2 linked regions of the Canis lupus familiaris genome follow. The main gene of each other region encodes a partner of the protein of the gene in region 2 in a complex. Links are inferred from orthologs where the notes say so. Each region holds a gene or a part of one and is shown on either strand. Other genes may lie near its edges.

The links. Proteins that work in one complex are often made in the same cells at the same time.
Region 1: ODAD1 (region 2) and EFCAB1 share a complex: the UniProt entries of both Homo sapiens proteins name them as parts of the outer dynein arm-docking complex. The link is inferred for Canis lupus familiaris from reciprocal best matches to the Homo sapiens genes ODAD1 and CLXN.

The regions. Positions count from the first base shown.
Region 1 is NC_049250.1:1,221,438-1,229,166, forward strand, and holds the start of EFCAB1 (EF-hand calcium-binding domain-containing protein 1), read right to left. Parts: upstream 4,654-7,729; 5' UTR 4,585-4,653; coding exon 4,527-4,584; intron 4,368-4,526; exon of another isoform or gene 4,232-4,367; intron 4,158-4,231; exon of another isoform or gene 3,739-4,157; intron 965-3,738; coding exon 806-964; intron 1-805. UniProt on the Homo sapiens protein: Component of the outer dynein arm-docking complex (ODA-DC) that mediates outer dynein arms (ODA) binding onto the doublet microtubule. Seems to regulate the assembly of both ODAs and their axonemal docking complex onto ciliary microtubules.
Region 2 is NC_049222.1:108,597,564-108,604,614, forward strand, and holds part of ODAD1 (coiled-coil domain-containing protein 114), read left to right. Parts: intron 1-1,691; coding exon 1,692-1,814; intron 1,815-2,172; coding exon 2,173-2,286; intron 2,287-5,906; coding exon 5,907-5,974; intron 5,975-7,051. UniProt on the Homo sapiens protein: Component of the outer dynein arm-docking complex (ODA-DC) that mediates outer dynein arms (ODA) binding onto the doublet microtubule. Involved in mediating assembly of both ODAs and their axonemal docking complex onto ciliary microtubules.

The DNA.
Region 1 (7,729 bases), on a different chromosome or scaffold from region 2:
ACCATTCTCTTTTGACAAAGGAGGAAAACTAAGACATTATAACATTGGAAAGCTCTTTTATTTAAACTCTCACACTTTCTCTTCATATTTTGTAGAAACAAAGTAAGTTCTGAGTAATCAATGATTACTAATATGTGGATATATTGTATATTAAATGTGTTGAGGGATCCCTGGTGGCGCAGCGGTTTGGCGCCTGCCTTTGGCCCAGGGCGTGATCCTGGAGACCCGGGATCGAATCCCACATCGGGCTCCTGGTGCATGGAGCCTGCTTCTCCCTCTGCCTGTGTCTCTGCCTCTCCCTCTCTCTCTCTGTAACTATCATAAATAAATAAAAATTAAAAAAAAAAAAGAAAAAAAATAAATGTGTTGATATGTTGACATAAAATATGTAATTTTATATTTTTCTTACTCAAGAAAATTAATGCTATTACATGATAAAGTTATAACTTAAATTTACTGAAATATTTTTGATGACATAAGGAAATCTATATGTCCTTTTAAAACCATTGTTTTCATTATTATATTTACGAAGTAGAAATAGAAATATTTTAGGTTTTTGGGTATAAAGTAAGGAAAATCTAATTATTCAAGCTGGACTTTGTCCTCTTCCTGAATACACAGAATAGAGTGGGTAGAGTCACCTTCACTATGACGCTTCCCTAACATACAAATTGATTTTTTATATTCAAGTGAAATTGGGAATTAAGAACATTAAGCTTCCTATCAAGAATATGTCTAAACTCCAAGATTTTTTTTCCCAGTTATGGCTGGATCTGGCCTATTTGAATATTGTATGTCTTCTTACCTCTGTCCATAATCATATCGTCTGTCATTCCAAATGTCATGTGCAGGATGTTTCGAAATGCATTGCGATCTAGTCCAATGGTGATACCTTGCCGCTCTGTTACTTCTCCCATCAAATTATAAAAAAGATCTATAAGACATTTCACTTCAAATTTATTAACTGTGAAGAAATAAGATATAACAAAAATGCATTTTAAACCTTTATTTCTAACTTAAATTTTGCATTATTGAGTTTATAGACAACATCAAGGACATCAAATATTAGTTTTCAACAGAAGACTATCCTGTTTTAAGATTCGTGACCCTTAAATTAATAAAATTAACTAAATTAATAAAGGATGGCCACTACAGAGGTTTCTCTTCTAAAATATTCTCTTTCTCTAGAGCATTTCCTCCAAAGAGGAGTTGAATATTAAATTCAGTCACATTTAGGAAGAAAAGAATAATAGCCAAGTTACCTGAATAACGATTATGAGGTCAGATGCTAAACTTTAAAGGCAGTAGAGGTGCAATCCAAAGTAAGCAAGGTAACGCTTAAGAATGGTAACTTTGCTTATAGGCGTTTATGATATTTACAACTACGCTTTTGCCTGGAGATAGATACCAGACTCCTGAACACTAGGCAACAATTTTAACTTCACATCAGCCTTAGTTAAATCAGTAAGCCAGATTTTGGACATCAGAAACCTATTTTCCAATAAAGAAGCATTTAACCATATTCCAGCACCCATTATGGTTCTTATTGCACCTGATGTGAATATTAACATGTAGGTATTTAGTATTTTGGAGGAAGGGAATTTTTATTGAAAATAAATATACGGACATATATTCTGGCCCATACACATAAATGCACAGAGTGTTTATAAACGCTGAGTTAAAAAAAAACAAAAACAAAAACAAAACAAAACAAAAAAACCGCTGAGTTAATTATTTGTGCTCCAATTCCCATTTGAGGTACATAGGTGGAAGTGTTATTGCCTGCCATAAAAGTGAGTTTAAATATGAAGTATAGGTGGACGATGAGAAATGTTTTATTTCAAAAGTACTTTAAAGCACAATGATGAAATCTGTGTGTATATAAAGGATGACAGCAGATAGGAATGGAGAAATCATACCTCGATCTACAAGTCAAGACAGGCTTGAGTGTGATTTCTGGTTTGGGATACCACAATTTAGAAGGAATATTGAAAAATTTGGGGAAATAAATGATTTAGTAAAAAAAAGTGGTTAAATAGTAGAAAACAATATAATGGTTATGATTTTAAAAAGAGCTGTTAGTTGATGTAGAAAATGACATGTCAGTTCTTAAAAAAAATTACACATAGAAGTACTGTGTAACCCAGTGATTCCACTTCTGGGTATATACTTAAAAGGATTGAAAGTAGGGACTCAGTTGTATATCAATGTTCATAGCAATATTATTCACAATAGCCTTAAAGCTGAAAGTAAGCTAAGTGTCCATCAGGAGATGAGTGGATAAGTAAAATGTAGTATATGCATGCAATTCAGCCTTGAAAAGGAAGGGGATTTTGACGCATGTTACAAGACAGATGAGGCCTGAAACATTCTGCTAAGTGAAATAAGTCAGATATAAAAGGACAAATATTGTATGATATCACTTATATAATGTATCAAGCATGGTACAATTCACAGATACCGAAAGTAGAATGGTGGTTGCCAGGGACTGGGGACAGGAGAAGTGAAGAGTTATAGTTTAATGGGCATAATTTCAGCTGGGAAAGATGAAATAGTTCTGGAGATGGATGTTGGTAATGGCTGCACAACAATGTGAATGTATTTAATGCCACAGAGCTGTACACTTAAAATGGTAAATTTTTGTTATATATATATATATATATATATATATATATATATATATATATTTAACCACACACACACACACACACACACCTCCAAAAATAAAAGAGCTTGCTAGTAATTGGAGAAGAAAAGCCTGTATTTAAAATGATGCTCATGTATATGAAATTTTAGCAGAGAGGTTGTTTATTAGCCATATTTCCATCTTGGCTAAAATGAAAATTAAAGAATATTATCTTCATTTATTACCCAAAGGATCCAAGATTAGCCACAAGAAAGTTTTACTTGCTGAAATGTTTTTTAAATTCCAGAATAAAATACTAAATGAAATTAAGAGAAATTCAAGAATGGATTTTCATCTTTTTGGATTGGTCTAAGTGTGTTCTGCAGATCATTTCTGTAGAATGGTGGGCAATCACTTAAGGTATTTTTTTTCTCTGATTCTACAGAATTTATCCATTTCATCCTAGTGGGATTACAACTGGCAACTAAAAGGAAATTTGACTTTAGGGGAAAAGTTCTCCATTAAAAAAATTTTAATTAAAAAAAATTTTTAATTATAATGCCCATGACTTGTAACTATTTCTATAGAATTTAACTGGTAATCATCAAGGTTTTTAAGGCCCACTTTAAGAATTTTACGTAAGGACAAAAATCAAAGACTTGACTATTTTTTACTGCCAGGTTTTCACTTATCTTTTAATACATTCACCTTTTGATTGCTCACAGAATGACTGTTTGCAATTCATGGTGTACTTACTGAACCGGTACTAAATCAAACTGTGTATATCAGTTATTGCACTGCTTATTCAAAATGTTCTCTAGATGTTTAAGATTTGATCTTTTCCTTGAAATGGATTTGGAGAAAAACAACAACAGAACAAGACCACATTATAATAACCATAATAATACCTTAATATATAGGATGACTTTCTTCTAAGAAGTTTGAGGCATTTATACACACCATAATTTTATTTACAGTGCCACTTCACCAAGGGGGCGCGTCCCACCACTCATTACATTCGATACTAAATACGCCTAGAAGGCACCAGATCCTATAAGCTCTAGAACTACGTTACACCTGTTCCTCCTTTGCACAGTGGAGGTAGTCCTGGAATTATGGCTTCTCCTAATTTCTCAAGTGGCCATTAGTTTGTAATCAGCAACACAATTTATAAGCTTGCTTGTCAGACAGTATCTTTCTCATTTTAAACCGTATCTGGGTTTCCTTGAGCAAGTACAGTTCTGTTTTTCAGTCTGGGTACAATTGTAAAGTCACCTATGAAATTCTAGGACTACGTCTTGGAATGTGTGATTGGAGCAGATATCTTTAATATGTGCTCATTTTGTCACCTACGAAGTCTCCTTTACCTCACAACCCCACCGGCAACTGAGCGGATTCTTGACTGCGTTTTGGCTTTGTGGAACTCTTTGGTCTCGAGACACATTCCCTTGCTCTGAGATGTGCCACTTCAACTCATCTTTCCTGAGGATGTTCAGCTACTGACAACCAATTTTCCCTTATGCACCTCCTGGTAAGTTTTCAAAACTTGGACCCTGCCGGTTTATTGGCACAACAAAGAGCTAAAAGGCAGGGACACGTTGGCGGTGCCAGTTTCCTTGGGGCCGGCGGGGTTCAGTACTATCCGCGGCTACAACCACACCTGCTGTGACAGTGCGTCAATGACGTTTCTATAATGGAAAAGGTGCTTGGAAATAGAAATGGAAAGGTCTACAAGGGGAAGGTAAGATAAGGAGAGGGTTTGAGAAGCGACCCGGAGCCTTGTGGGAGCATACGGGTGCCAGGCGCCTGCAGTACGGTCCTTAGGGCCACGGGCAAGCAGGGCTGCGCCGCCCTACGAGCCAGGAGCCTCTGCTCGTCCAGCACTCGATTCCTTACTTACAGTTCTTGCAATTTTTGGTCAAGGTGTCCGTCAGCTTCTGCAGCTTCTTGCGGTTCATGCCGGCTGGGCGCGGGCGGCGGCGGCGGCGGGGGCCCAGGGGCGCGCGGCCGAGCGGACCCTCGCCGGTCGGGACCCCACGCACGCGGGCGCGGTACCATGGCAACGCTGCGCCGGCCGCCCATTGGCTGGCGCGGGACGCCGCGGACACACGCACACGCACGCACGGCGTGGCCATGGCAACGGCGGTGCGGCCGCGGGTGGCTGCTGCCTGGCTCGCCGCCCCGCCCCGCGCGAGGGGCCTCCCCGGGTTCGCAGCCCCCGTGACGGGCCGCCCTGTGACGCAGGGCCTAGGAGCAGGGGGGACACGCGGATGGAGCGTCGCACCAAGCGAGCCTGGAAACCGCCTGGGAGGGCCGGGGCAGCTGGAGGAGCGTCGAGAGTCCGCAGGCGGTGACCCCCCAGCAGGGCTTGGCGGGGTGTGGGGCTGAGGAGCTGGCCCTAAAGCCGAACCACTCCTGGGTGTCCGCTTCTGCTCTGCTGCCTGGACGTAGCCTGGACCGAGACGCCCTTAGGATTTTGGTGGTGGTGTGGGAGCCAAAGGGACTTGGAATAGTTCTTCCCCCTCCCTCCTTCCTTCTTAGAGGTGGAAGTGAGGCGGTCGGTGGAATCCGGGGAAGGCCATGGGCAATGCTAAGCCAGTCAAACGGCGAAGTCCCCAAGAGCCATGTTGACAACTGCCACTTCTGTGTGGGGTTGCTTTTCGAAAACCTTCATTTTCTGAAAAATATCCTAGTAAATCTGGACCTTTACTTATTTGAAAGATGAGTCTGTGTCCTTTAATGTGGGAGGACTTTGTGCTCTTCTTAACCACAGATGGGACCCTCTTTGAATTAAGACAGCACTAAAATGGGATAGCTCAGCCGGTAGCACGAATCCTACAGTATTCTCCAGTGTGTCTACTTGTTTTATTTCAGATGGGAAAATGCTTTTGAAAACAAATTATTTCAGGGGTGCCTGGGTGGCTCAGTCGGTTAAGGGCTGACTCTTGGCTTTCGCTCAGGTCATGATCTCATGGTCCTGGGATCAAGCACTACAAAGGGTCCAGCTCAGCAGGGAGTCTGCTTGTTCTTCTCCCTCTGCCCATCCCCTCGACTAGTTTTCTGCCTTTCTCTCTCACAAATAAATAAGACGACAAATTATTTCATAGTATATGCAGTGTCATCGTTAGACTGAAAGAAAAATTCTGCCTTCCATGAGTAACAGTCCAGAATGAAATAGTTCCAGTATCGAGGTCTCTGAGTTTGTCTCCTTGTGCCATTTGTTTGTCAAATGAAGGTTTGGGCTGCTGTTGGAAACCTGAGTCAAGGATGCTCCGTGAAGGCAGGGACTGTGTTATCCTAAAGCAAATTCTCTGAGAACAGTTAACCAATAGGAAATGATAATGATTTTGAGTTTGCAACCATTCTCTGGTTACATAATACTCCTATAGGTCCTCTTGTCTAGCAGCTGTGACACTTCCAATCAGATTGTAGAGAAAAAAAAAATGGAAAGGACCAAACATTCTAATTACACTCACCTGTGAAACCCTAGTGACTTTTGTTCAATGACAGTATTGTACAGTAAATATTTCATTTATAGAGATTACTACAGTACTCATTTTAAAAGGCAAGGACCCAGAAGAGTGGCTGTCAGTAGTAAATAAGAGAAGCCATGGGCCCCACCTGTCTTTGTGCTGGCAGGTCTGTTAAAAACCATGCATTAGGTGTTCTGATCAGATTCTGTGCTGGCATGTCTTAGAGAGCAGGTCTCCACCAGTGGGAAGCACACGGATGGGCATGTCCAGGTGTTTTCACAGACATCATACCCTGAAAGCTTGTTGGTGAGCATCTATGGCTGGGCTAATCAGCTCTTCACAAGCTTCAGGCTTGGGACCCAGCAGCCATCTTCCCTTAAAGTAGAAAAAAGGATGTAAGGAAAATACCACAGAAGACTGAGATTGAAAGCGTCAAATCTTTTCTGCCAGGCAAAAATCCTTTAATCTGCTAAGAACATTTTGTGGTACTCTTTTCCCGTTTCTCCCCTTCCTCAAGTTCTTTCTTCTTTTAGTGAAAAATTTCCAAATGCGTTGTTATGTGAAACTTACTTCTCTAAGAGAGTGGACAAAGTCACTCATCATACTGGAAAACTTCAGTGCGTTCATTACATTCTTGTGAAGTTTTGAACTTAATATTTTTAGACTTCAGAAACAAGCTATAGGCCTGATAGTGTTAGTTAATCTCATTTCAAAGCAAATTGAAATTCCTATTTGTAGTTTTCAGTTGCTTGTGTTGAGTAGACACAGGATCACTTCCTCCCTCATGGGCTTTTTCAGAGTAAGTAATTAAGCCTGAACAGTTACCTCATATCAAATCAATCAATAGTAGGATAATAAAAAACCCTATTTAATCTGTACTGTATGCAAATTTTACTCTGCATGATACAATCACAGAACTTTCCAAAATTCCACTTTGTAACGGATGTTTTTATAAATATAAAAGTACAGTAAAGTGACTATCAATGCTATAAATGTTTCCTTTAATTTTTCATGCAAAACTGTCTTCCCTTTGACTCACAATTAATTGGAGTTTTGCCATGATAAATAGCTTGAGTCTTGAATTGATTAAAGTCTTTTACTTCATGAGGACCTTTTATGATAAAGGTGTTTGGAAGCAGTTTAGGAAATGACATCATAGAATTGATTTTCAAGTCAATTACAAACCTTTAGTGTAAAGGTTAGTTATCTACATAACAAATTCAATTTTACCAATTTTATTGTGTAGAGAGAATGATGAGAAATTTGGAGGTGATTTTAGCCAACTGTTTGGGGGGTTGAATCTCTACTACTCTCTCTTGCCACTTGTCTTTGCTGCTACCCTGTGTGACAACCTGCCTTCAGTACCTCCAGCCACCCAGCTGTCTGCCCCAGAACTCTACATTCCTGACCCATCTCCAAAGGCAACTCTTGGGAGAGTTTTTTACTTCCCTGTGTAAAGTGAATCCTTCTCTACCCAACCGTCATTCTCTGCCTCAGGACCCCAATTCCTTCTAGCACTTGCTACCATGATTACTTTCTTTCTCTGATCTCTTCTCCCCACTAGACTGTAAATTACATAATCTCTCTCTCTCTCTCTCTCCCTATATTCATGACTATTTTTGTTTCTGGA
Region 2 (7,051 bases):
CTTTCTTTCTTCTTCTTTCTTTCTTTCTTCCTTTTTAATTGAAATTTTTACTGGGATAATTGTAGATTCACATGCAATTGGAAGAAATAATCAAAGAAATTCCTTGTACTCTTTGGCCAGTTTCCTCCACTGGTAACATTTTTGGATATTTGGCTCTTTATCATAGCAACAGCTAAAAATGCAGTTTCACAAAGATGTGACTCATCAAAAGGAACACAGCGCTGTCTTGTGTTGAACCTGTGAACTGTCTTGAACGTGTAGCTCATGGGATGTCTGACCCATGTCCTGTGTGTCTCCCTCAAGACTTAAAATATCCCCATGGTGTTCCCTTTGAGTTCACTGTGATGCTCTGGGGTGCCTGGGTGCGTGTGTTGGTTTTCTAGGGGATGCTGTAACAAAGTACCACAAACTTTGGGTGGCTTAAATGAAGGAATTTATTATCCCACTGTTTTGGAGGCTAGGAGTCCAACATGGAAGCAACCGTTGGCAGGGAGGCATTTTCCCTATGTGTGTGTCTGTGTTCAAATTTTCCATTTGCATAAGGACACTGGTCTTATTGGATCAGGGCTCACCCTAATGACCTCATCTTAACTTGATTATCTCCGTAAAGACCCTGTCTCCAAATAAGGCCACATTCTGAAGTCGATTAATGCTTAAACATATAAATTTGCAGGAGGCAGGGGGCGGGGACACTATCCAACCCATAATGGCACACAAATTGAGAAATGCAGTCTTTTAAAAAATTTTTTAAATTTATTTTATTTTAAAATATTTTATTTATTTATTCATGAGAGACACACAGAGAGAGGCAGAAACATAGGCAGAGGGAGAAGCAGGCTCCCTACGGAGAGCCTGATACAGGACTTGATCCCAGGATCCTGGGATCATGACCTGAGCTAAAGGCAGAGCCAATTACAGAGCCACCTAGGCACCCCCTCTGCTTTTTCAAAGTTGGCTCCACACCCAGCGTAGAGCCCAACATGGGGCTCAAACTCAGGACCCTGAGATCAAGACTTGAGCTGAGATCAAGAGTTGGATGCTTAACAAAGTGAGCCACCCAGGCGCCCCTGGGAAACATAGTCTTAAGCAATTCATGTATTCATTTGATCTGCATGTTTTATTGAGAACTTACTCTGTGCTAGGCACACAAAGACAAAAATCTGCCCTTGTGGAGCTTCCAGTTTAATTGGAGAGTCAGCATTCCCCAAATAAGTAAAGATGAATACAGAAATGAAGACAGGTTGGAAGTGGTTTCATGCATAACCAGACCTATGGCTTCTAATGGTGTCAGAGCTCATTCTCACCGTCGCTCAGTCTCTTGTCTCCACTTTGTCTACTGACCTGCCCCTCCCAGGACCCTCCGTGTGATGCGGATTATGACAGCTCAAGTCCTAGAGTCCCATCTATCCAGCTCATGTGTTTCCCCCAAAATACTGGGAAGGGATTTAGACTGGCTCAGCTTGGGTCAACATGTCTATCTCTAGGACAATGACTGTGATTGTCGGGGCCTGGGTCACGTGCTGGCAGCGTGGCTTGTTGTGTTTGGAAGCCAGAACCCCGTGGAAGGCTAAGCGTTGTTAGCAGAAGAAGGGTAGAACAGATGGCTGCTACACTCAGCCACTCACCCTCTCTTGGTGCCTCAGTCTCTCACACACTCAGCCAACAAATAGGTATCATCCTCTTTCCTCCAGATCCAGGAGTGGGAGACCCGGATCTCTGTTCCTAGTAAGGATGTCAGGGCTTCCGGACTCATCCTGGATCAGAAGGTCAAGATTCAGCGAAGGATCAAAATCCTAGAAGACCAGTTGGACAGGGTGAGGGGTCAGCTTCTTGACTCTTTCCAGACCTGATCTCTGGGGGTTGGAGGGGAAACTGAGCATGGGGTCAAGTTCCAGAAATGATGGGCCAGAGTCCTGGAGGGAGGCAGGCCTGAAACACTGGGCTCCCAGAGAAGGATCAGGAGACACAACCCTGGAGGGATTGGAGGGTCAACCCAAGGAAAGGAGACTGATGCTTGGGTTCTTAGGGCAGTTGGACAATGCTCTAAGGATCCCCAGATTGGGAACAGGTTCCACATGTGACAAGTGCCCTCTCCTTGGCTGAGCATGGATGAGGGAGATAGGTCGAGTCTCAGACAGACTTTTGTACCTGTCCCCCCACCCCGCCCCCCAGGTCACCTGTCGCTTTGACATCCAGCTGGTACGGAATGCGGCCCTGCGGGAGGAGCTGGATCTCCTGCGCATCGAGAGGAGCCGCTATCTGAATGTGGATCGCAAGCTGCAGAAGGTCAGTGGCCCTGAACCCTGGGACCCCTTGGCCCAGCCCAGGTAGAGGAAGGAGGAGGCAAGAGTTACCCCACCACCAACAACACTCTGACCTCAAATATGGAATCGGCCAGAGTCATAGGTTTACTTTGGTCCAGAGGGAATGGAGGCCACGAAAATGTTCCAGGTTGCCTCTAACAAAGAAAGCAGCCTCGTTTAGACTTGCAGAAGCCAGAGATGTCACTTTGAATATCATCAGCCAGGGCAGTCAGTGGATGAGCAAGCAAGACAGTTGACATTCTGTGGGTATCTCCAGAACCTTTACTGTCTCTTGAGGACCCTTCCCTTTCTCCTCCACTTTCCCTGCCCTGAACGAATAGTACAAGGAACTCTGTCCTTCACCCAGACTGATAATCTGCCATATTTATATACACACACACTCTAATTAGTATTTTTTACTGAAAATAATTTATTATTATGATTGCTGAACTATTTGAGAGCGCACTGCAGACATTATGCCCCTAAGAACTTCAGGGTGTATGTCCTAAGAATAAGACCATTTTATTCTTATTCTTTTTTAAAAAAAGATTTTATTTATTTATTTGTTTGAGAGAGAGAGAGAGAGAGAGAGAGCGCGCACGCACAAGCAGGAGGAGGAGCAGAGGGAGAGGGAGAAGCAGATACCTTGCTAAGCAGGGAGCCTGATGTGGAACTCCATCCCAGGACCCCAGAATCATGACCTGAGCCGAAGGCACTCAACCACTGAGCCACCCAGACGCCCCAATGTTATTACAATTCTGAATAGTCCCTGTTTACGGTTCTCTGATGGTCCTTTATAACTAATTTGATTTTCCTGTTCCGGGCTCCAAGCCAGGGTTCCACACTGCTTTTGCTTGTCCAGGCTCCGTTTATCTGGAACCATCCCTTGGCCCTTCTTTGTCTTCATGACTTTGATATTTTGGAAGCCCGTCGTGTTGTACGAAGTCCCTCAATATGGTTTGTCTGATTGATCTTCGCGATGAGATTCGTGTTGCACATTTTGGGAGGAGTATCACAGAAGGGATGTTGTATGCTTGGTGCACATTATGTAGGAGGCACATGATGGTAGTTGGTCCCATAACTAGTGATGTTGACTTTGGTCCCTTGGTCAGCCATGTTTCTGTAGGGCAATTTTCCCTTTGTGATGAATAAGTGGAGAGTCTCGAAGACCATGTAAATATCTTGTTCCCCAACACCTTTTTACTCGGTTGTTTTGGTGTCCATTAATGATCTTGCCCAAATGATTGTCACTAGCTGCCAAATGGTGATTTTTTTTTCTACCTCTATCATTTCTCCTATACTTGTAAGGGAGCATTTTAAGGAAGAGCTTTTCATTCTCCCCTGTGCATGTGTGTGTTATCAGTAAGCATTTGGATTTTTATTTCACTCTGCGGTGGTCATCATTCATGATGATGTTCAACTTGTCCCAGATTTGGCTAGTGGGAGCACTTCAAGCTGCCTTCTGTGTGCTTTTGATGTGCCCCATGGTTGTTGGTTATTTTTTTTTTAAGATTTATTTATTTATTTGAGAGAGAGAAAGAGAGAGGGCACATGCACACATGAGCAGGGGGATGAGGCAGGGGAAGAGAATATCCACGCAGACTCTCACTGAGCATGGAGCTGGATGTAGGGCTCAGTCCCACGATCCATGAGAGCAGGACCTGAGCTGAATCCAAGAATCAGACACTTAACTAACTGAGCCACCCAGACACCCCTTGTGGGTTCTTTTTGAACATTTCCTTACTTTCTGGCACAGGAAGATAGTCCAAGTTCTTCTGCTCTTGTTCTGCCCCTACCTAGGAATTAGCCCTTTCTCCAAGGAGTCCTGGTTCCCTCTGATAGGAAGGAGGTTTTGAGAAATGAAGACACAGGTACTGCTAGCATCCTCTTTGCTACCAGGGCATCATTGCTTTGAGGCCCTCTCTCTGGAGACAATTAAGGAACACACACATATATTATGAAACCATGATTTCACATTGATTCCCCCTAATTCCAATCCAGCCTTACTGGGTAGGTTATTCCTGAACATTCCCCATTTTCATCTTTTCACTGCTCTTGTCTCCCACAGTAGGAAGACTGGCTCTCAATAGCATTGGTATACTTACTCATTTGCTCAGTCCTACAGTGTACACGAAAGAGGTCTATAGTTGTTACCACTGTACTTCCACCTCCTGAATTTAAGAAGCAGAATTCAAGATATGAAGTGTGTTTTGCCCTCTGAGGGTATGGAGATCTAGCTATCCATCCAAAATTATTGTATTCACAAGGCACTTGAATTAATTCCTTTTTTCTTTTTTTTGTCTGTGTGTGCTCTTGTCTTTTTGTTGCAAGTACAGTTAGGTTCATTTGCTTCTATTTTTTTTTTAATTTTTAAAAAATTTTTTAAAATTTATTTATGATAGTCACAGAGAGAAAGAGAGAGAGGCAGAGACACAGGCAGAGGGAGAAGCAGGCTCCATGCACCGGGAGCCCGATGTGGGACTCGATCCCGGGTCTCCAGGATCGCGCCCTGGGCCAAAGGCAGGCGCCAAACCGCTGCGCCACCCAGGGATCCCTGCTTCTATTTTTAAAAAGATTTTATTTTATTTTTTTTGCACGTGTGTGTGTGTGTGTGAGAGAGAGGGGGGGGGCACAAGTGGGGTGGAGCAGGGAAGAAGGAGAAGCAATTGGGGAACCCGACATGGGACTCAGTCCCAAGACCCTGGGATCATGACCTGAGCTGAAGGCAGGTGCTTAACTGACTGAGCCACCCAGGCGCCCCTGAATATTTAACCCTTTAAGAGGGGTTTCCAAATGAAAACTACTCCAGAAGGTATCTCAGAGAAACACTATTTCCTCTCCATCTCTTCTACTTCATTCTGTGTGTGTGTGCACATGCGTTTATATACATATGTATATGAATGACTACATGTGTATACATTATATATGTGTATATTTGTATATTGTATACATAATATATATATACACACATGCATGTGCACACACATACACACTATATATACTTTCCTCCCTTCTTTCTCCCAAAAGAACCCTTTTTACCCATCTACTGCAAAGACATTTCTTTGGAACTGGAAAACAGATCCGTGTGGTCACCATTATGAAATCCACAAAAATTTCTGCACCAGTCCACAAAGTTAGGTCGATGCTCTTAGGAATGTTCTTGGATGAGGGTTTTACTGGGAGAGGCCTTCTTTTTTTTTTTTTTTTTTTTAATTTTTATTTATTTATGATAGTCACAGAGAGAGAAAGAGAGAGAGGCAGAGACACAGGCAGAGGGAGAAACAGGCTCCATGCACTGGGAGCCCGATGTGGGATTCGATCCCGGGTCTTCAGGATCGCGCCCTGGGCCAAAGGCAGGCGCCAAACTGCTGCGCCACCCAGGGATCCCTGGGAGAGGCCTTCTGAGGCGGCATTCCAGCTCATCAGTTTGGGTTTCCTGTACCTGGTACCTATAAGATCCCTTTCTCTGGTGACTGCTCATTGGGAAGGTCCACATATTTGGAAGGAGCAGGAGTCCCCGTTCTTCAGGGGGCCACGGGGCCTTAAACGAATGCCCTACAGTGGGGAGGCTGTAGGAAGAACCTTGGTTTTGTTCTCTTGCAGGAAATCAAGCTTCTGCGACACATGGTCAGCTCCCTCATGGTCTCCTCTGCAGCTGCCTACACTGTCAGGTAGGGCGCCACCAAGGCCTTCCGGGGATGCACTGTGCTCACACCGTACCGTACATACCTTGCAGGAGGGTTCAGGACTCCAGAAATATACTGTTAAGACTTTTTTTTTTTTTTTTTAAACAAAGTACACCTCTCTGTCCTCCATGGATATTCCAGTTCCTTGGGCAAGGTCCCATTCATTGGTTATATGGATAACCTCTTTGGCTCCAGTCTATTCATGGAACTTAACACTCAGAGTGTGTGGAGAATGTATCAAGATGGTACATGTGGTGCCATCTTGGTGTCAGGAGCCAGGGGCTGGGGAAGCATCAGGCCCTGAGAGTAGATTGTTACTTATCAGTATTGGCTGAAAGAGACAGAGATCATCTCAGGCCACCTTCAGACGGAGTTATGTAGTGTGGAATCCAGAAGTACTTGCTGTTGTGCATGTATTGGCTTGTCTCTGCCTCGGGGGCTGGTAGGGACTCCCTGCTCTCTCTCACTCCAGCTCTGCTTCTTTCTGAGCTTCCGCCTGCCCTGGTCGATTGCTCCCAATGGTTTCCTGTGTCCTCCTATTCATCCTGTCTGGTATCTTCTTTCTATCTTGTGACTGCTGCTTACTTATGGCACATGACTCCTCATGACCTTTGTGATAGCCCAAATCTACCTTATGGTTACTGGGATTTCTTCCTTTTTTGTCGTTAAGACACACGTAGCAAAATTCACCGCATTGAATTGTACCGTTCAGTGGCATTTAGGACATTCGCTTCTGTGTCCAAAACACTCCTCACCCCAAAGGAAGCTGGTACCCATGAAGCAGTCACTGTGTCTTCCCCTCTTCCCGGGTTAGCTGGAGTTTTCTTTGTGTGTCAGTGGATTTCCCTGGCCCCAGCATTTCCTGGCAGTGGAGCTGTGCTGTCCTGGCCATTCTGCCTCTTTTTTCCATGGCTTACACCGTCATGACCCGGGCTCCCGCGTGCCCTTGTGCCTGCACTGCGGCAGTGCCCCTCTGTGGGCCAGGCCATCAGTCCCTTTCAATGGCCCAGGGCACCTCTACCCCCCCAGGCCTGGATTCCCCCCAACTAACCTGACTCACCT